Linked DNA regions of Macaca mulatta. The protein of the gene in region 2 interacts with the protein of the main gene of each other region in a pairwise test. Links are inferred from orthologs where the notes say so. Each region holds a gene or a part of one and is shown on either strand. Other genes may lie near its edges. The genes, in order: ZNF774, LDOC1 and UTP14A.

Region 1 (7,713 bases), on a different chromosome or scaffold from region 2:
GGTCAGGAGTTTGAGACCAACCTGGCCCACATGGAGATAACCCATCTCTACTAAAAATACAAAAAAATTATCCAGGAATCGCTTGAACCCAGGAGGCAGAGGTTGCAGTGAGCCGAGATCGCACCACAACACTACAGCCTGGGTGACAGAGTGAGACTCTGCCACAAAAAAAAAAAAAAGTAAAGCAGAAGGAAGGGTAGCCAGGATATTTGGGAAAGAGCAATTGGAGGTATTTTGTTTGTTTGTTTGTTTGTTTGAGACAGAGTCTTGCTCTATTGCCTAGGCTGGAGTGCAATGGTACGGTCTCGGCTGACTGCAACCTCCGCCTCCCAGGTTCAAGCGATTCTCCTGCTCAGTCTCCAGAGTAACTGGGATTACAGGCGCCTGCTACCACACGCAGCTGATTTTTATATTTTTAGTAGAGATGGGGTTTCATCATGTTGGCCAGGCTGGTCTTGAACTCCTGACCTTGTGATCCACCCACCTCGGCCTATCAAAGTGCTGGGATTACAGGCGTGAGCCACTGCACCCAGCCTGTTTTTAAGTGACAGAAAAAATTACCTCCTTTTCCACAAAGACCTCAGAAGTCTCAAAAGTTAAGTGGCAGAGGTGAGAGTTCAACCCAGGCTGGAAAAGGGGGACAGTAATACATATATCAAAAAGTTATGATGAGATATTAAAAAGACAATAAATAGCAAAGATATTTACAAACCATAAAATGCATAAAGACGTAATTCTTTTTCTGCCAAGGAGGCAACAATGAATCTTACAGAGGTCTGGAGCTCTAAGGCACCAACACACCAGAGACTACTCAGACCTGGGCCCTTTATCTAAGTTTCAAATTAAAGGAGAGTAGTGGCCAGGCATGGTGGCACCCATAATCCCAGCACTTTGGAAGGTGGAAGCAGTGGATTGCTTGAGCTCAGGAGTTTGAGACCAGCCTGGCCAACATAGCAAAATCCTGTCTCTACTAAAAACACCAAAAACTAGCTGGGCATGGTGGCACATGCCTGTGATCCCAGCTACTCAGGAGGTTGAGGTGGGAGAATTGCTTGAGCCCAGGAGGCAAGGGTTGCAGTGAATCGAGATCACGCCACTGCACTCCAGCCTGGATGACAGAGCGAGACCCCATCTCAAAAAAACAAGATAAATAAATAAAATAAAGGAGAGTAGCATTCTTACCCTTTGATAGCCCATTCTTCTAACTGTGCTGGGTGGCATTCCTGAAGAGGATTCTCTAAGCAGTGTCCAGGTAACCCACTCTTCCCTGAAGTCCTCAGCCACATTATCAAGGGTCATCAGTTCCTAAAGCAAGAGACCTCGATATGCATCAGTAGCTCCCTAGGTATTCTCACCATTGTCTGAAAGCCAAAAAATGGCCATCAGTGTACACAAACAACCCCCCACACCTGATCAGAATGGTCCTGAGGTAAATTCTGTCAACCACAGAGGGTTGCTTTTCTTAGTCTGTTTTTACATACATCTTCTCCTGGCCAACTTTCCCATTACTAAGAGAGGCCTAGGCCTCCCAAACACATGGACAGAACCCAGTCTTTTAGATACATTAACTTTTTGAGGAAAAAATTGTCCACGATGAACAAGGTAAACAAAGGAGAGAGTTGGTAGGTACAATTTGATTTCTGGAAAGCTTTTGATTCTCCCCAACTTCATTTTCCTCAGCAACCAAGGAAATTGTGGACTTAACTATACTCATATTAGTTATGAGAACAGCTGACTTCTTGGCTTGCAGATTTGGGGTCAACCTCAAGGGACAGATTATGCAGAACCCCAAAGAGAACTGTGTTGGATACCACTCTATTTCAAGATCTTAATGGAGTCAGAAATAAGACTGAAAAAGACATGTTTTTTTTTTTTTAAAAAAAGACATGGATAGGTTGTAAAAATAAGTGAAAGTCAATGGGGATAAGCACAAAACACAACTCTTAGAGGCTGAAACCAATCATTAATATATTAATAAATTGACAGCAATATCATGAAAAACATTACTTTTTGGAGGATAGTCAGAGTCAACTACTGGATGGATCAGTAATTTATTCAACAATCAATATGTTGCCAGGCATAGGAGTCACAAAGAAATTAAGATAATGTTTTTTCCCTTAAAAACTTTCCAATACACCAGCCTCAGCAACATATTGAGACCCCTTTCTCTACAAAGAACTTTTAAAAATCAGCCAGGCATGGTGGCATGCACTTGTGGTCCCAGCTACTCAGGAGGCTGAGGTGGGAGGATCACTTCAGCCCAGGAGTTCAAGGCTGCAGTGAGCTATGATGGCGCCACTGCACTCCATGCACTCCAGCCTAGCAACAGAGTGAGCCCCTGTCTCTCCCTTAAAAAAAAAAAAAAAAAATTCAGCCAGCATGACCACCCACTACAAAGAATATTGCATTTCACGGGAGGAAGGACCAGACTAGGGTGAAGAAGTTTTACTCTTTCACATCTTTTGTCCCACTACAAAGCACCTATTTACTACTGGAACACAGATACAGACACAGACACACACACACACACACACACACACACACTTTTGGGGAAAATATTTATGTATTTACAGACATTATTATTGGTCATTTATAAAGTATTGAGTTTTTAAGGATCTAAAAACCATTGCTCTGGTTTAAAACTTTAACAAACAACAATAATGTAATTAGAAAGTAAAAATGGTAATAACAGTTTTCAGTATTGGTCGGGCGCTGTGGCTCATGACTGTAATCCCAGCACTTTGGGAGAACGAGATGGGCAGATCACCTGGGGTCAGGAGTTCGAGATCAACCTGGCCAACATGGTGAAACCCTGTCTCTACTAAGAATACAAAATTAGCCGGGTGTGGTGGCGCACACCTGTAATCCCAACTACTCGGGAGGCTGCGGCAGGAGAATCGCTTGAACCCGGGAGGCAGAGACTACAGTGAAGGGAGATAGCACCGTTGCATTCCAGCCTGGGCAACAAGAGCGAAATCCCCTCTAAAAAAAAAAAAAAAAAAAAGTAGAAGAAGAAAAAGGAAAAAAAAAAAAGAGCTTTTAGTATAATTTTTATTTCTACATTCATTACAAAACACAGCTGCAGGGCCCCCTTGCTGGAGACTTCTTAGCCACGGTTATAGAAACCCTGTTTCCCAGCCCGTCCCTTTCCCCATGCGCAGATGACCTCAAAGGCCCTACAGCTCTGAGGGGCTGTGACTAAGTGCCATTGTGAGAATCTCCAGTGCGTTCACCGGGTTTATTAATAGGAACATGACTGCACGCGTGGGGCTGAACCCCGTTCTTCTTCTCGGTGCTGGGGCCCTAACCAGGGTGCGGCGGTCAGAGGGTGGCAGATCAGCTGAAACCCGGGGACCACCATCGAGAAGCAAGAAAACTCATTAAGAGAATGACTTATCTCGACGACGGTATAGAGACCACAGCTACCTCTCCCACACCCCAGCAAGACCCGGGGGCTCCCAAAGGCCAGCGTGGGAACCCCTCTGAGAAAACGTCTGGGTGGCGGGCGAGCCCCCTCCACGCCTCTCAGCAGCGCGCCGCTGCCGCCGCAGTCTCCCTCCTTGGATCACTCACCGCCCCAGGGCCCAGCTGGGGATGGAGCAGGAAGTGAGTCCTCCACCGCCGAGCCGCACCCGGCCCGCAACCCCGAGGCGGTCCCTCCCAGAACCCGACCGGGATTCGTGACAGGGCTGTGGGGACACAGGTGGGACTCAGGCTTCGACAGCTCGCAGCCGGAAAGTACCGCCCCTGTCCTCTTGCTATTGGCTTTTTAGTTTCCATGGCTAGAATGTTTCTCTGTCCATAGGCTGACAGAGCTATCAATTACCGCCTAGCCTTCTGGGAAACGTAGTCCCGAGCAAGACCTCAAAGGACTCGGAGCCTTGGATATCCAGTTCCAAGCGTTGAAAAGTGCTAAACCCAATTCCCCAGCTACCGGCCCCCAGGAACCGCCTGTTTGGAGCCTAGGGATCTAAATGCCGTACCCTCAGTGTGGCATCTGCTGATGTGAATCTCCTGGCCTCACCCACCTACCGCGGAGCAGCCTGGTGCCCAACGTGAGGTCTCCCGCGCTCTGGCACCTCGCCCCTCCCCAGCGCAGAGCAGCTCAGCCCTCTGGCCTTTGCAGCCTCTCTTCTGCCCAGTCTTCCACCTCACACCCGGCGGCCGGAGCCTGCAGAGTGTTTGCGGAGGCCGGGTCCCAGACCAACTCAAACTGGACATAAGGAAGGCCCAGCAGACGCCCTTAGGAGAAAACAGACATTCCGTATCCTTCCCTTGGCATCAAACTCCCAGGCGCATCCCCTTTCCGTCTGGTTGATAGCCAGAGGAGGCGGGCGAGGGCATCAAGTATTCTGGGAAATGTGATATTGGGCTTCAAACTGGGGAGGCTCCTGGGTCTCATGTGAAAGCCAGTGGTCACTTTGGGTCGGCCCCTAGCTAAAAAATAATGTCTTTCCTTAAAGTGAAGAAAATGTGCCTGTCTACTCCGTTTGTTGATTCAGTGTAATTTAGAAAAAGAAAGACCATTTTGTGATGTACTATAAAACGCTTAGAATTGCTAGCCATAGAGTTAATGTTGAAGATCCCTTTGATGCTAATTCCACCATTCCTTCAACAAAAATAGGGTGCATTTTCCAGTGGATATTTATTGGGAACATTCTATACTCAAGATCGTTCTGGGAACTGTGGTTACTCGGGAATCATACATAACCATTACCTTCATGAAGTTTACAGGCCAAAAGGGGAGATAAACCATAAAAGGTATCAAAATCCTAAGTAGGCCGGGCGCGGTGGCTCAAGCCTGTAATCCCAGCACTTTGGGAGGCCGAGACGGGCGGATCACGAGGTCAGGAGTTCGAGATCATCCTGGCTAACACGGTGAAACCCCGTCTCTACAAAAAAATACAAAAAACTAGCCGGGCGAGGTGGCGGGCGCCTGTAGTCCCGGCTACTCGGGAGGCTGAGGCAGGAGAATGGCGTAAAAACCCGGGAGGCAGAGCTTGCAGTGAGCTGAGATCCGGCCACTGCACTCCAGCCTGGGCGACACAGTGAGACTCCGTCTCAAAAAAAAAAAAAAAAAATCCTAAGTAATATTTTGTCTTTTTTTTTTTCATATAGCCAGTTGCATCTTAGTTATTTTGCTACAATTGTAGTCATCTGCAAGATAACTACATTGCATTTTCAGAAACTCTGTCGACTGTGAACAAATACCTGGTTAGCAGAGGTAGTTAGATGTAGTTAGATTTAGTCAGATGAAAATGAGGAAAATGGAAATCCCAGAGGAGCTCAGTAACAAAGGAATGCCCAGGAAACCTAGGGATTGCCAGGCCTTCTGTAACTGACAGAGTTCAGGACCTGGAGAACTGAAGGCATCTTCAGGCCCCTCGGTAAGTCTTTCTAGCATTTTGCCATCAGGGAGATCATGAAGATTACTCTTCAATCTGGGACTGGAGTGGGGAGATGAATGAAGAGTCACAGAATCTGGCTGGTGGCTATCCCTGTCACTCTCTCCAGCTTCTGTTCCTTCTGCCTTACCTTGTTCTCTCAGCGGTTTGTTCACAATGATCAGGTGTGTGGGGAGTGATGGAAAGGAAGTTTGGTCTCATGACAAGAGCAGTCAGTGCAGGAAACCAATCGTGTACCCGCAATGGCCACCTGAAGAGAGGATCATGACCTGTTGGGGGTTGGGTGCTAAAGGGCGTGGCTGAGAGGAGGCATAGAGGAGCGAGGAAAAACTGTGAAAGGACTTCAAGGAGCATGAAAACAGAGAAAGACTTCAGCAGTTAATAGAACTGAATTTATTTTGTTTTATTTATTTTATTTTATTTTTTGAGACTGAGTCTTGCCCTGTTGCCCAGGCTGGAGTACAGTGGCGCGACTGCAGCTCACTGCAACCTCCGCCTCCTGGGTTCAAGCAATTCTCCTGCCTCAGCCTCCCAAGTAGCTAGGATTACAGGCGTGCACCACCACGCCGGCTAATTTTTTATATCTTTAGTAGAGACCGGTTTTCACCATGTTGGCAAAGCTGGTCTCGAACTCCTGACCTCAGGTGATCCGCCTGCCTCGGCCTCCCAAAGTGCTGCGGTTACAGGCGTGAGCCATCGCACCCGGCCAGAACTGATTTTTTTTTAAAGAGAGAGTCTATCATCTGTTGCTGTGTAACAAATTACCCCCAAATTTATTGGTTGAAAAACCAAATATTTGGTTTTGTGCTCCCAGCTGTTCGGAAAAGCCGCCAGTATTTCTCCACCTGGCTTTCCTCTACCACCAGGCAGGAGCACCTGAGGTCCCCCTCCCACCCCACATTCCGCCCGCCCGCACACTCGGACCACCGCTGTTGATATTTCTGCCCCTATTCTGAGCACACATCAGCGGAGGGAGCGGGACGCGGCCTGCGGTCAGCGGCGAAGAAGGCAGGCCCTGCGCGGGAATCTCGGAAGCCATGTGATTCATCATGAAGTTCCAGTACAAGGAGGACCATCCCTTTGAGTAGCGGAAAAGGGAAGCAGAAAATATCCGGAAGAAATATCCGGACAGGGTACCTGTGATTGTAGAGAAGGCTCCAAAAGCCAGGGTGCCTGATCTGGACAAGAGGAAGTACCTAGTGCCCTCCGACCTTACCAATGGCCAGTTCTACTTCTTAATCCGGAAGAGAATCCACCTGAGACCTGAGGACGCCTTATTCTTCTTTGTCAACAACACAGTCCCTCCCACTAGTGCTACCGTGGGCCAACTGTATGAGGACAGTCATGAGGAAGATGATTTTCTGTATGTGGCCTACAGTAATGAGAGTGTCTATGGGAAATGAATGGTTGGAAGCCCAGCAGATGGAAGCATCTGGACTTGGGGGTAGGGGAGGGGTGTATGCGCGACTTGGGGAAAGAGAGGGCGGCTCCCACCGCGAGGAGACAGAAGGTGAAGACATCTAGAAACTACACCGCATACACCGTCATCACATTTTCACATGCTCAATTGATATTTTTTGCTGCTTCCTCAGCTCAGGGAGAAAGCTTATCAGGACGGAGCTGTTGCATTGGCTTTGATAGAGGAATGGGGATGATGTAATTTTACGGCATTCCTGAGATTTAATTTTTGTGCAATTTCATAGAAGGGTCAGGAGGTGGACAAGTTGGGGTCAGAGATGATGGCAGTCCAGCAGCAACTCCGTGTACTCCCTTCTCTTTAGGCACATATTCTATTTTTGACAGTTGCACAATAAAGGTAGGGAAAGGGGACTTGTGGTAGTGGACCATACCTGGGAACCAAAAGAGACCCACTGTAATTGATGCATCGTGGCCCCTGATCTTCCCTGTCCCACACTTCTTTTCTCCTATCCCAGTTACAATCTCACAAACATCACAGTGCCACCCCAGGGGAGGCAGTAGACATCAACCCAGAAATTTAGACAGGGATCTCTTATTTTTGGAAAATAGGGGTTAGGCATGAGGGTGGTTATGATTAAGAAGACAGTTTTGTTATTAAATGGCATTAAACTGGAATTGACAGAGTGTTGAGCATCTCTGTCTAAACTGTTCTTTCTCTCTGGTGCTCCTTCTATCACCCCTACCTTGGAATTTAATAAGCTTCAGGCATTTCCAATTGCAGAATAAAACCACTCCTAGCATCTTCTCTAGTATTTTCCATGTATCAGGACAGAGATGTCTTATGTAGGGAAGGGGCAGGTATGAAGTAAGGTAGATTATCTACACCTCT
Region 2 (6,785 bases):
GCCTGGGCAACAAGAGCTAAACTCCATCTGAAAAAAAAAAAAAAAAGAAGAAAGAAAGAAAAAAAGTGTGCTCCTAGGAGTGGAACCCTGAGTACTCTTCCTGTATTAGGGCCTGGATATGAAAGGTGGAGCTGGCCACTACCTCTGTCCCAGTCAGGCCCATCCTGTACTCTGAACTATAAATTTGGCAGGAGGATCAGAGACCTACTTTCCACATTTCCCATCCCTCCCCTCAATCCTTACACTGAACATTTATGGAACAACTAGTAAACACTGCCAGGTGCTGAAGATAAAATTAAGAGTGAGAGTGGATCCCTGCCTGCCAACTTCTCAGGTGGCGGAGCTGATAGCACAGGAGAGGCCAAAAGCTCACATTCTTCCTATCTCTTTTTTTCACTGCCCATCCTTTCACCAGTGTCATCTTCCCCAGGTCCCTGCTTGGGTCTTGGCCCTATTTCTCGGCTCTTTCCCAGTCTCCTACTCCCATGGATGATCATTCAATTCTATCCTAAAGGATTGAATTGAACTTCTTTAAAAATCTATTCAGCCAGTTTTATTACATCAGTCATTGTTTCACAATCGAGACTGATTCATGGTCAGAGATAAAATACACTGAACAATTTTTTTTTTTTTTCTGTTTCTCTTTTTTCTTTTTTCTGAGACGTTGTTTTGCTCTTGCTGCCCAGGCTGGAGTGCAATAGTGTGATCTCGGCTCACTGCAACCTCTGCCTCCTGGGTTCAAGTGATTTTCCTGCCTCAGTCTCCCAAGTAGCTGGGATTACAGGCACCTGCCACCACACCTGGCTAATTTTGTATTTTTTGGAAAGACGGGGTTTCTCCATGTTGGTCAGCCTGGTCTCGAACTCCTGACCTCAGGTGATCTGCCCCCCCCCCCGCCCTCGGCCTCCCAAAGTGCTGGGATTACAGGCATGAGCCACCATGCCCAACCTTACACTTAACAATTTAAAGAGTATTATTTAACACTTTGTGCAGCCACAACTTCTAATTTTTATCTCAGCATCTGCACTCTGAGATTATATTACACGCCAAACATTAATGAAGCCTCTACTCTGGGCCAGAACTTATCTAGACATTAGGGATAGACCAGATAGCAAAAGCAGTGTTTCTTTGACTTATATATTCTAAAATGGAAGCAGATGATGAGCAAAGTCCTATATATACATACGACATGGTGGCTAGTAGCACAATAAATGTTATGTAGATAAATGAAGCAGAGTAAAGGGTTACAGATTGGTGGCAGAGAACAGGGTGCTCTGATAGGTCCAGTGGTCAGAAAAGTTCTCTCTGAAAGCAGTAGGAGGAGTCAGGCAGCCAACTGGGATGACATCCTTGCAAAGGAGAAGGGATAGAAGGTGCAAAGGCTATGAAGCCAGAACTGCTTGATGGGTGTGAGAATCAGCAAGGAAGACAGTGATGAGAGCACAGCAGAAAATGGGAAGAGGCACAGGATAGAAGGAGGGGCCTTGTAGGCCTTGGCTGCAACTTTGCTCTTTATTCTGAGGTGAAACTACTGGAGGATTTTGAGCAGGGGCGTGAAGGGATCTAACTGTTTTTTGTTTGTTTGTTTGTTTGTTTTTGTTTTTTTTTTTAGAGATGGAGTCTCGCTTGGTAACCAAGGCTGGAGGAGTGCGCTGGCGCTATCTCGGCTCACTGCCACCTCCGCCTCCCGGGTTCAAGCGATTCTCCTGCCTTAGCCTCCTGAGTAGCTGGAACTACAGGCACCTGCCACCACGCCCCGCTAATATTTTGTATTTTTAGTAGAGACAGGGTTTCACCCTGTTAGCCAGGATGATCTCGATCTCCTGACTCGTGATCCGCCCTCCTTGGCCACCCAAAGTGCTAGGATTACAGGAGTGAGCCACCGCGCCCGATTCCTGTGGCTACTCTATGGAGAATATACTATAGGAAGAAAAGAGTGAAAGCTAAGTGATTAGTTGCAGCAGTCTGGGTGAGAAAGGCTGGGGATCAGGGTGGCAGTGGTAGAAATGACAAGTCATGACTGAATTGGCAATATATTTGAAAGCAGAGCCAACAATTCCTGTCGGCTCTAGGGATCCGTTTAAAGTAGAAAAACAAAATTATTTAAAAACACAAACATCTTAACAGTTCATTTTTAAGTACAGAATAAAACCCAGTGGCCAAAGGCACTAATAGCAGGACAAGAAATAGAGAATCAAAGATATGTGGGATGCCTGCAATTGATTATTGGATGCTGATTTTGCAAAACTTCTTTATATCCTGCTACTTAGGTTTGTTTTTTTTTGTTTGTTTGTTTTAAGGGAGTATGCCATATTATTCCCCTACTAAAGAAGTCACTGTTTAAATACTGCCTTTTTCATGAAAGGCAGGAACCCCTGAAGGTCTTCATGATCCTAAAAGGAAGTGTGAGTCCCACAGTGCAGCCAGCAGTGTCAATACTTCTCTGAGTGAGATTTAAACAAGAAAGAAAATGTGTTAATAAAACATCACGCCAAGAGAATCTAGTGGCCACAGACCCACGAAGGAACAACTGAGTTGTGAGAGTTGCCTAGGTAGAAGGGTGGCTAATCCTTTCAGTTTGAACAAATTTGCCTTCTCTGAGACCAAACTCAGCGCTCGCCAGGTCCTCTGCTAACGCAGGCCCCACAACCAGGAGCTAGGGGAGCCTACCCCAGCCTTTAACTGCCCGCCTAGAGACCTACCACAAGCCGGTGGTTCAGCGACCCAATGCATCCTTTTCCTGGCCACGCCCTCTTTGTCTAAACCCTTCCCATCCCGGCCACGCCCCCACGCAGCCGCGGCCGCCAGTCTGGCCACGCCCCTCCCGCGCCGCGCCGGCGCACCATCCGTCCGAATGGCCTCGTGGGCGGAGCTTGCGTAGCCTCCCGGACCCCGGCGCGCACCGCCCCCCGCCCCCAGCCCCTGGCCATCGAGCGTCTCCGTGGACACGCACTTCCTGCGAGGCCTCCGTGCGCACCTTGGCCGAGCCGAACCGAGCCGAGCCCTGTCCTTCCAGGCTGTTCGCAATGGTGGATGAGCTGGTGCTGCTGCTGCACGCGCTCCTGATGCGGCACCGCGCCCTGACCATCGAGAACAGCCAGCTCATGGAACAGCTGCGGCTGCTGGTGTGCGAGAGGGCCAGCCTGCTGCGCCAGGTACGTCCGCCGAGCTGCCCGGTGCCCTTCCCCGAAACGTTTAATGGCGAGAGCTCCCGGCTCCCTGAGTTTATCGTGCAGACAGCGTCTTACATGCTCGTGAACGAGAACCGATTCTGCAACGACGCCATGAAGGTGGCATTCCTAATCAGTCTCCTCACCGGGGAAGCCGAGGAGTGGGTGGTGCCCTACATCGAGATGGATAGCCCCATCCTAGGTGATTACCGAGCCTTCCTCGATGAGATGAAACAGTGCTTTGGCTGGGATGACGACGAAGACGACGACGACGAGGACGAAGAGGATAATTACTAGGCCCTCGGGCCTCGGGGGGAGGGCCCTGCACGCCGTCACCCCCTCCCCGCAGCCCTCACCCCGCCAGGAGCCAGTGCTCTCCCCCTTGCCCTCCGGTCCCCTTCCCTACCCGCGCCCGTCTGCTCTTTCTTCATTTCTCCGTAGTGCTTGTCTTTGTTCCAGGAATAGTGCTCCAGTTACCTGCTGCTGGGGTTGGGGCTGGAGCCTCACTCACTCGGAAGTGCTTGGAAGTGTCATCTACCCTGGCCATCCCGGGGATCCCTCCCCTGCTAATCTGAACTGTGTCCTGAACCCCAGCTATTGGCCAGGCCCCTGTTACAAACTGCGCAGACCACCCATAGCCCTGCTGCTGCCACCTGCCCTGCTGCCAGGCTTACATCTGCCCAGAGAACTATGCTGCCACTTCACATCCACTCACCACATCCCACCTACAGACTACCGCCTTTCGAGATCAGGACCAACCTGGAAAATGCCAGAGTTGGCTCTGCCTCTTCGGACATTGATTTGGACAGCTCACCAACCCCTGAAGAGGCCAGTCATTCAGCCTGGTTAGTTTTCTACCTACTCCGAGTGTCCTCCCCTGCCATACCAGATTGCTGCAGGGGCGCGGTGTGCCTGACAGCCAAATTGTTGATATTTCTTTTTTCCTATGCACTGGTTTTACACAGCTGTCATTTTTCTTTCAAAATTGCAGCAGTCCCACAGATGTATGCATTTGGACAAATAGTACTAAAAACAAAACAAACAAGCACTCAGCCCAGCTCCTCAATACTACCTGGAAAAAGCATTGGCATTATTTTCAATAAATATCAAGCACTAAAAAACGAAATGATTGTCTTTTAATAGTTAAGTGCTATCACTGACCTCTAGAACTGTCACTGTGACTACCGTTATTCCCATGGAAATCAGGGAATACAACCAATCCTAGGAATCCCTGCTGTCAACTCCAGGCTGCTGGGGACAGCTACCTCAGGGCTTTGTCAGGGTTCTGATGCTTCCTTCACCAACGCATTTCTTAAAGCCCTGGCAAAGGGTGTGTTCTCTGGGTCCTCCAGGGTGGCATGGGTAAGGGTTGGCTGAGCAGATGGCAAAGAGGGCAGTATTAATAATTAGACCGTAACAACAGGCATAAACCAGGACATATATATGTATTGCTCCTAATTCTCTGAGCTTTTGGATTCCTTAATATTGTGCCAGGGAAGTTCTGCCCCTTAATCCTTATTGCCTATATGCAGCTGTTGAGTTCAGGCTCCAGAGAGCCAACATAGTACATTGTCACTTTCAAACTCCAAATAGCCAACATGTCACTTACAGGTGCTCTAGCTAACATTAAGTCCCAGATCCTGGGCAAGTGCATCCATAAAGATATACCCTGATCTTAACAAACATTTCATCCTCCTTGGGCAGACATCCTTAGAATTTCCACTCATAGATGTGTCCCAGATTCCTCCCTATGGAAATTAGCAAGATGCTTGGTTATCTCTTAAATCAGACTTTGTACTGCTATCTGGGGGCTATGCTGAGATCTCTGGGCCTGGAGGGTTCAGAGCAGTGAAGGGGGTGGCTGCTGAGAAGAAACTGCATACCTGTGTGAGGCCATTGCCCCGGGTTAAGTCATTGAAATGTTTAATGCAGAGCAGCTTGGTTGGGGATTTGAGAGGACTACCTCTTAGAAAGGTTTAGGAGGATGTGAGGGGTTCAGAGTTCTCATTTATATCTGTCCAGATGTCCTCCCTCATTGTACCATGTCTGGAGCCAACTTCACTTTATAACCTTTAATTAATTTAGATAACACATTTCCTTACTGTTTAAGGCCTTTTGAGGCAAGATATTTCATTTGTACTGGTAAACCTCAGTGTTGATTAAATGAGATATGGGGCTTCATATTAATCACCTGATAGGTGTGGATTATATGAGATCATACCCATGCAGCATTTAGAACTTTCCCTGCTACATGGTGAGCACTCAGTAAACCATGGGCTGTTACTCCTGGGCCTGGGGACAGAATTCTCAGGAAGCAAGTCTCTGGCTCTGAGCGTGGCTTTAGTAGGAAAATGTCAGCGTAAAGAGGAGCAGAGCAGGTTCAGCGATAATGGAAATGAGAGCATGATAAGACCCCATTTACTTTTTGAAGTCTTATATGAAGCAAGAAACAAAGCTGTTTACGTGGTGAACAGGCAAAGTTCAGGGTAGGAATTATATCTCACACCTAGGATAGCTGTTTCTGGAGGGTGGGGACAGGGGTGAGTATGACTTAATAAAAGAGGCCAAGGCTTGGGTGGAAATGAGATCTGGGGCTCTTCGGGAAGCTGCTGCCTCCAAATCTGAATCAAGGAGACACCTGGTTATTTAGAATTCACTGATCACTTCTCCCAGTCTCCTTGGAAAATATACAAAAACCCTTGGAATACAGAGAGTTTATATTTGAGACATAATATGTGTGAGGCCAGATAATTACACTTTCTTCCTGACTAGAAAGGCCTTGAATTGGGGATAAATGGGGAAAAGTGAGCAAGATCTAAAAGGTAAAGGATCCAGTGAGACTAAAAATCATTTATTCCAAACTGATTATGGCCCAGTTATGCTGAGTGGAGTTATATCATTGAATAAAATGTCATCTCTGCCTTCATAGTTAGTCCAGTCTGCTACTTTTACTGTGCCTTGGGCCAGAACTTCGATGATTAGTTACAGGAAAGGGCCAGGAAGAGAATCTGGGCTGTGATTAGATCTAGGAATGACCTTTCTGGGGTGGAAGTTGAGGACATATGAGTATGTGTTCTGTGGAGGAAGGGAGGGTCAGTAAGGATGCCATGCCGAGGCAGCATCTGAATGGCATCTGGGAGAACTAGGCCAAGGAGCTTCTGTGATCTGAAATGTACATTTCCTGAGTATGTGTGCATGTGCACATGAGCTTGCTGTGACCCTGTATGTGTGTGCTGTGTGTGTGTGTGTGTATGTGTTAGGTGATGTCCTTCATGCATCATGGACGAACAGGTTATGCTGTGAGATGCACAAAAGGAAAGTGTGAGATTCTGGTTACTCTGGGGACAGATTCTGCAATAAAAGTGCAGATATTGGCAAGGGCTCCATCACCCAGGGAGGAATTCCTGATAATGGCATAAAGCATTGCAAAAAAGAAGGAAGAAGTAGAAGTATGTCTAAGGATGGAAGTGCCACTTCTATCAAAACTATTAAAAATAGGTAGGAATGCTGAACAAATATGAACTTCAGACTCCTGAATTCTCATTTTGGGTATAATAGACTTGAAATGGCCACTGAAATTATACTATCAATGAAATGAAATTAGTCATATTAGAG
Region 3 (7,613 bases), about 11 Mb from region 2:
AAACCCTGTGTCTACTAAAAATACAAAAATTAGCTGGGTGTGGTGGTGTGTGCCTATAATCCCAGCTACTATTGAACCCAGGAGGTGGAGGTTGCAGTAAGCCAAGATCACGCCACTGCACTCCAGTCTGGGCAATAGAGCAAGACTCCGTCTCAAAAAAAAAAAAAAAAAAAAAAAAAAGACTGAAACACATGGTCCTCATATGATATGATTTCCCAAGTTTGGATTTCTATAGAGCGTTATTTAATTATCTGACTGAAATATGCATATGTATTTTAAGCTGGATCTCCAACAGATGCTATAAGAATTCCAATTCTTTATTTCCCTTACAAAAAAACACTTTTTTTTTCCCTTGGGTTGGGGGCACACAACACATCTATTTTAATAACAAGGAGGGTGTTTTTTTTTGTCTATTTTTTTCTGCTTGTCGTGTTCTTCGTAGGAAAAGCCAACTTAACTTGGAGGCCGGGTGTGGTGACTCACACCTGTAATCCCAGCACTTTGGGAGGCCAAGGCGGGTGGATGACTGGAGGCCAGGAGTTCAAGACCAGTCTGGCCAACATGGTGAAACCCCGTCTTTACTAAAAATACAAAAATTAGTTGGGTGTGGTGGCACTCGCCTGTAATCCTAGCTATTCCAGTGGCTGGGGCAAGAGAATCACTTCCAGGAGGTGGAGGTTGCAGTGAGCTGAGATCACACCACTGCACTCCTTCCTGGGCAACAGAGCGAGACTCTGTCTCAAAGAAAAAAAAGCTAACTTTGTAACTGGCTATGACTTACACTATATGTCAGGGTTTCCATGTTAGATCATACTATATATTTTATACAGAAACACCATTTTAAGCCCTTTTTGTCTAGAAGCAAGTTAGGACAGACACATGACATTAGCTCCCTTTTAGTTTGAGCTGGAATGCTTGCACACCAGACCTCTTCCAATTCCCCAGTTCTCTACTGACCAAAAGAACAAGAGATTTGGCCGGGCGTGGTGGCTCACGCCTGTAATCTCAACACTTTGGGAGGCCAAGGCAGGCAAATCACAAGGTCAGGAGATCGAGACCATCCTGGCTAACACAGTGAAACCCCATCTCTACTAAAAATACAAAAAATTAGCCAGGTGTAGTGGCGGGCGCCTGTGGTCCCAGCTACTCAGGAGGCTGAGGCAAGAGATTGGCATGAACCCGGTGGTGGAGCTTGCAATGAGCTGAGATCATGTCACTGCACTCCAGCCTGGACCACAGAGCGAGACTCTGTCTCATAAATAAATAAATAAAGAGCAAGAGATTTTATGTGAGACTCAATTTCCATGTTGTCTTTTCCCTCCCCCTCATCGTGATGGTTTTTCCTTTTCTGTGTCTTAGGGGGACAATGATGGAGAGAGAGAGCATCAAAAGCTTCTGGAAGCAATCAGTTCCCTTGATGGAAAGAATAGGTAACGTTCCTGTCAGTTACGGCAGGTTATATAGTTGATTCCATGAGATTTCTCTGCAGCTAATATTTATTGAGTGCTTCATGTAAAGACCTTAATACCAGTGCCTAGCATATAGTAAGCATTATGTAATTGTTAGCTATTACTAGTCTTAGTGCTATTACTGTAAGCATTTGCAGTCTTATTCCACAATGAAAATCTTTTAAAGCATTGAGTAGGCATTACTTAACCCCATTAGAGAAGTAAATTGACTTACCCCCAAGGTCAGCTGGCTAATATGTTATAGGTTCAGGTGTGTTTAATCTAAGTCCAATATGTTTTCCACTATGCTTACCTTGTAATAAAGAGAAGAGATGAGGGTTAGATAACCAAGTCCAAGTTAGGAACAGATCTCCTTGCTGCATCATGACAAAACCTGACCCTAGAAGAAATACAAGAAACCAAAGCCCTGTATGAAGAGAGAAGTGTTTGTCTCTCCCACCCCTAAGCCCCCATAAAATTTATCCATTCCTATTATATCGTTTTGCCTAATTTCAGGCGGAAATTGGCTGAGAGGTCTGAGGCTAGTCTGAAGGTGTCAGAGTTCAATGTCAGTTCTGAAGGTAAGTTGAACAAAAGAAGATACCCATGCATGAAACTTGTGGGGTTCCAAGGGCATAGTGTTCACCTCACCTCCCAGGAACTGTTTTTGATGTGGTTAATGACTCATACCATAAATACCTGGGAGAGTGGGTGAAGAAGTGTAGTCAGATGCCCTTCAGTTTCTTCCATCTCTCAAAGCCTAGAAGGCTGTGGTCAAGGTATGCTACCGAGTTTGATGAGATACTTCTAGGATAGAGGGACATGAATGAAGACAGCTGCCTCTTAGTAACTTAGTCATAATTCATATTTGTACAATTTCATTTTAATTTCAGTTCTCTTAACAATGCTTTGAGTTAGGAGACAGGCAAATGTTCTCTTCAGCCAGAGCTCAGAGAAGTCAAGTTACTTGTTCAAGGGCCTTTGCCTAGTACAGTGTTTTTCAACCTTTGCTTTTTTACTGCTCCCCTGAGAGGAGCCTTTTAAGACATTTTTTCCTCATTGTATCCCTCCCACTATGCCCCTTCCCCAGGAAATCAAGTCCTAAGGAATAAGAGTTTGTTGGACAGAGTTGAGCCTTGGAGGGACACAAAACATTGTAATATCTAAGATTCTTTTCATACTCCTCCAGAAAGAACCAATTTTCACCCTGGGGTGGGGGGGGTGGTAAAAATTGCCCCTGTTCAGAATACATGCTCTAATAAGTGGCAGCCGTGGGATTTTATCCTAATACTGAGTCTAGATGCCAAATCTTTTTCACCCTGTTCACAACTTAGGCAGCTAGAATGGGTTTTGCATTCGTAGTAATCACTGGTGTAGCCTCCTAGGGCAAATAACAATGTATTCCAAGCATACTCATTCAGCGGATATTTATTGTGTTTCTACTAGGTAGCAGTATCAGGAAGTGTTGTAGATACCAAGGCCACAGTAGCGAATAAGATGTGAGCTCCTGGGGCTTACTTTCTAATAAAGGGAGACAATAAGAGAGGATGATGCAATAAAGCGACTAAGTGGCTACTTTAGATTGGTTGGTCATGAAAGGCCCCTGAAGAGGCAAAATTGAAGCTGAGATCTGAATGACAAGTCAAGTGAACCATGCAAAGATTAGGGAAAGTATTTCAGGCCAGGGAACAGCTAGCACAAAGGCTCTAAGGTAGAAACATGCACAGCATGTTGAAGAATGGGAAAGAGGACCCTGTGACAAGAGCATGGTGGAGGGTGGGGGGTGACATGAGGTTAGAGAGGCAGATGGGGATTAGATCTCATAGGACCGTGTCGTTTAGGTAGATGAGATTCAAAGTATAATGGGGAGTCACTGGAGGATTTTCAGCAGCGTCATGACATGCTGTGGTTTATATTTTCAAAAGATCATTTTGGGCTGGGTGCAGTGGTTTACACCTGTAATCCCCAGCATTTTGGGAGGCCGAGGTGGGCAGACTGCTTCAGCCCAGCAGTTTGAGGCTGGCCTGGGCAACATGGCACAACCCTATCTCTACAAAAAAAGATGCAAAAAATTAGCCATGCGTGGTGGCACATGCCTATAGTGCCAGCTACTTGGGAGGCTGAAGTGGGAGGATTGCCTGAGCCTGGGAGGCAGAGATGGCATCACTGCTCTCCAGCCTAAGTGACAGAGTGAAACCCTGTCTCAAAAGAAAACAAACAAAAGAAATACCACTTTGGTTGTTTTTATTTTTGGCTGTTATGTGAAGAATGAATTGCAATAGGGCAAGAGTAGAAGCACCAGGAGAAAAGAAAATGAGTTTTGAATAAACATTTTCCCCTATCTTCTACCCCCTAACACGTTTGGGGATAAATGTAGAGTGATAGTGTTGGCCTGGCTAGAAATAGGCAATTGAAGTAAGAGAATTATTCCTGCTTCTCTGCACATTTGCCATCTACTGGCATTTTCTACTGAGGCTTCTGCCTACATTATATTGAGATCTTGCCTCACTTCTTGGTCTGACTAGAAAGTTTGACCTTTCTACAGGATCAGGAGAAAAGCTGGTCCTTGCAGATCTGCTTGAGCCTGTTAAAACTTCATCTTCTTTGGCCACTGTGAAAAAGCAACTGAATAGAGTCAAATCAAAGAAGACAGTGGAGTTACCTCTGAACAAAGAAGAGATTGAACGGGTAAGCTATACAGAAGGTGGTCTATTAAGGGAAAGAAATTGTGTTGACAAGGGAAAATAGGGTAATAGAAAGAAGGGAAAGACCTGAAAAATGGGAGAAGGGGGAGCTGTGATTTCCCCACTATGGATAAGATTAAAAATAATCTAGGAGTGCCAGGCGCAGTGGCTCACGTCTGTAATCCCAGCACTTTGGGAAGCCGAGGCAGGCGGATCACCTGAGGTCAAGAGTTCGAGATCAGCCTGGCCAGCATGGTGAAACCCCGTCTCTACTAAAAATGCAAAATGAGCCTGGTGTGGTGGCACACGCCTGTAATCCCAGCTACTTGGGAGGCTGAGGCAGGGGAATCGCTTGAACCAGGAGGTAGAGGTTGCAGTGAGCCGAGATCGTACCATTGCTCTCCGGCCTGGGCGACACAAGTGAAACTCCATCTAAATAATAATAATCTAGGAGAAATTGCAGTCCTGAGAAGCAAGCAGTAACCTCTAGCATCCTGATTCTTTCGTGGGCTAAGAAACGTTGTTTCCTAATTTCTTGTTAGTCCTTTGGGTTTGATGCTTTAATCTTGTGGCTCTTTCCTTTTACATACTTTGTCTGCTTCAGATCCACAGAGAAGTAGCATTCAATAAAACCGCAAAAGTCCTCTCCAAATGGGACCCTGTCGTCCTGAAGAACCGGCAGGCAGAGCAGCTGGTTTTTCCACTGGAGAAGGAGGAGCCAGCCATTGCTCCCATTGAACATGTGCTCAGTGGCTGGAAGGTGAGTACAACAAAATGAAACTGAACTTCATTGAAAGGTGAGATTTTATAAGTTGGAGATTTCAGAGCCTGCAATTGATTTGATTGGACATGTTAAGCTAAACCCCAGCATAAGTCATTTTAGCTTAGTGCTCAGAAGGAAGGGATTGCCCATAGTCATTGTCAGTCATGTGACTGACATGTCAGTCACAATAGCTCTGTGATCACTTTTTTTTTTTTTCTTGAGACAGGGTCTCGCTCCGTCACCCAGGCTGGAGTGCGGTGGCACGATCTCAGCTCACTGCAACCTCCGCCTCCTAGGTTCAAGCGATTCTCCTGCCTTAGCCTCCCAAGTAGCTAGGATTACTGGCACGCACCAACACACCCAGCTAAATTTTTTGGGGGATTTTTAGTAGATACAGGGTTTCGCCATGTTGGCCAGGCTGATCTCAAACTCCTGACCTCAAATGACCCGCCCACCTCAGTCTCCCAAAAGTTTTGTGATTACAGGAATGATGAGCCAACGCGCCCAGTCTCTGTGTCACTTTTCATCTGCTTGTAGTATACAGTACTTGGCTATTTCCATGTTTTTGTGTTAAACCATGTGATTGCCCTTATAGCGGGAACATAATAATGTTTTCTTTCTTTTACTCCAGTTTTTTAAAAGCATTTAAAGCCACATTCTGATCCTAGGGAAATCAGGAACTCGGTAGTATTAATGATGCCTTAGTGAGGATATGTGAACAACAGAAGCCAAAGTTTGCTTGTACAGGAATGAATACCACATTAAAATATGTGTTGCTGGCAATGACTAGAACTTCAGCAGGTGACTTATTATGACTCTGAGCTGCAGGGCAGGGGTTTAGAGCTGGGTTTCCCAAACACTAACCCCTAACAAAGTTTTTGTCTAAAACAAAAGGATAATTGTAAGTATGTTTGTTTGGTGGGTGTAATGTTGCCAGTTCTTTTTTATTATGAGGTTATTCTTTCTATTTTAGTGGTGTTGAAATGTCTTTTCTTCTATGAAATGATGGTGGTAGTAAATGATGGGATTGGGGATGAAATGGTAGTTATGCTCTTGGCAAAATTAGAAGTTGGAAATCCTATGTTGGTCCCTAAAGTCTCGGTTTTTAGTCTGAATAGCTGCTTTAGAACAGCTAGCCTACTTTTCCAATACACCATTGGTATGGAGTCTATAGTCTATAATGGGCTGATTAATCTTAAATAGATGCCCTCTTTGTGCTTCTCCTCTTTACTTTCCAAAAACCCAAGAATAGTAGTTTCTTAGGTGTTGGGAAGTTGAGCTAATTAAAGCTAATCAAAGTAAACATTGCTTGCCACAATAGCTAGAAATTGAGCGAGTAGTTGCTTATTATGGGGATAAGCTGTTTCTGATGTTTTTGCTGAAGTCACTACCATTCTCTTTCTAGGAGGCTTCCTTTTCTACATGAAAAAGAGATCAGGTTTAAAGTGTGGCTGCAGGATGAAGGGAGACTTTAGAAAAAAAAAAAATCAGAGGTAATACAATTTGTAGGATTCAAAAATAAAAAAGCATAGAAGATATGTAGTGAAAAGTTTGACTCCACCCTCTGCCCCATCTGATCATTTTTACCCCCATACTCACCACTTGCATAAGTTTGCTGTTGTTGTTGTTGAGTTTCATTTTTATATTCACGTTTACCTCCTTTTTAAATAAAAAGAATGGTAGCATGCTACTACACACTGTCCTCCACCTTGCTTTTTCCAAATGACAGTGTAATCTTGGAGATAGCAGGAAAATGCCAAGTTTGTTATTAAAAACGAGATGGGGCCGGGCGTGGTGGCTCACGCCTGTAATCCCAGCACTTTGGGAGGCCGAGGCGGGTGGATCACCTGAGGTCAGGCGTTTGAGACCATCCCGGCCAACATGGCGAAACCCCATCTCTACTAAAAATACAAAAATTAGCGGGGCATGGTGGTGTGTGCCTGTAATCCCAGCTACTAGGGGGGCTGAGGCAGGAGGATCACTTGAACCTCAGAGGCGGAGGTTGCAGTGAGCCGAGATCGTGCCACTGCACTCCAGCCTGGGCAACAGAACAAGACTCCATCTCAAAATATATACATAAATAAATAAAAAATAAAAACTAGATGGTAGTGGAGGAGGTTACACTAAGAATAGCACAACCTCTTCAAGATAGAGTGAGGCTCAGATGTTATACATTGAATATGCCATGCCATTCATTCATTCTAAGACTGACTTTTGAGAAATTATGCTAGTAGGGCACAGAGAAATAAGGAAGTGCTTAGTTCAGAGGGTGCTTTGTGGCTAGCAACTCCTAGGTCTCTCCTTACAACTTACAGTGCAAAGTACCAACAACTAGTATATGCTGTATTAGGGTTTCTAGAGATTGAATATCAAGTCTCAGGCTGGGCACGGTGGCTCACGCCTGTAATCCAAGCACTTTGGGAGGCTGAAGCAGGTGGATCACCTGAGGTCAGGAGTTCAAGACCAGCCTGGCCAACATAGTGAAACCTCATCTTTACTAAAAATACATAAAAGAGCCAGGCATGGTAGCACATGCCTGTAGTCTCAGCTGCTGAGGAGGCTGAGGCAGGGGAATTTCTTGAAGCCAGGAGGCGGAAGTTGCAATGAGCCGAGATCATACCACTGCACTCCAGCCTGCAAAAAAAAAAAAAAGAAGAAAATTGAAAGTCTGTACTATAGTTTTGGTTCAGCTTCCTAAAATTTTGTTTAGCTGCAAAT

Evidence for each region.
Region 1: the proteins of LDOC1 (region 2) and ZNF774 interact in binary tests that used the Homo sapiens proteins (3 or more experiments, as listed by UniProt). The two-hybrid records come from large-scale screens. The link is inferred for Macaca mulatta from reciprocal best matches to the Homo sapiens genes LDOC1 and ZNF774.
Region 3: the proteins of LDOC1 (region 2) and UTP14A interact in binary tests that used the Homo sapiens proteins (3 or more experiments, as listed by UniProt). The two-hybrid records come from large-scale screens. The link is inferred for Macaca mulatta from reciprocal best matches to the Homo sapiens genes LDOC1 and UTP14A.

The regions. Positions count from the first base shown.
Region 1 is NC_133412.1:80,234,622-80,242,334, reverse strand, and holds the start of ZNF774 (zinc finger protein 774), read right to left. Parts: upstream 3,754-7,713; 5' UTR 3,574-3,753; intron 1,306-3,573; 5' UTR 1,287-1,305; coding exon 1,183-1,286; intron 1-1,182.
Region 2 is NC_133426.1:147,687,913-147,694,697, forward strand, and holds LDOC1 (protein LDOC1), read left to right. Parts: upstream 1-2,932; 5' UTR 2,933-3,026; coding exon 3,027-3,467; 3' UTR 3,468-4,282; downstream 4,283-6,785. UniProt on the Homo sapiens protein: May have an important role in the development and/or progression of some cancers.
Region 3 is NC_133426.1:136,362,713-136,370,325, forward strand, and holds part of UTP14A (U3 small nucleolar RNA-associated protein 14 homolog A), read left to right. Parts: intron 1-1,359; coding exon 1,360-1,430; intron 1,431-1,964; coding exon 1,965-2,029; intron 2,030-3,993; coding exon 3,994-4,136; intron 4,137-4,736; coding exon 4,737-4,892; intron 4,893-7,613. UniProt on the Homo sapiens protein: May be required for ribosome biogenesis.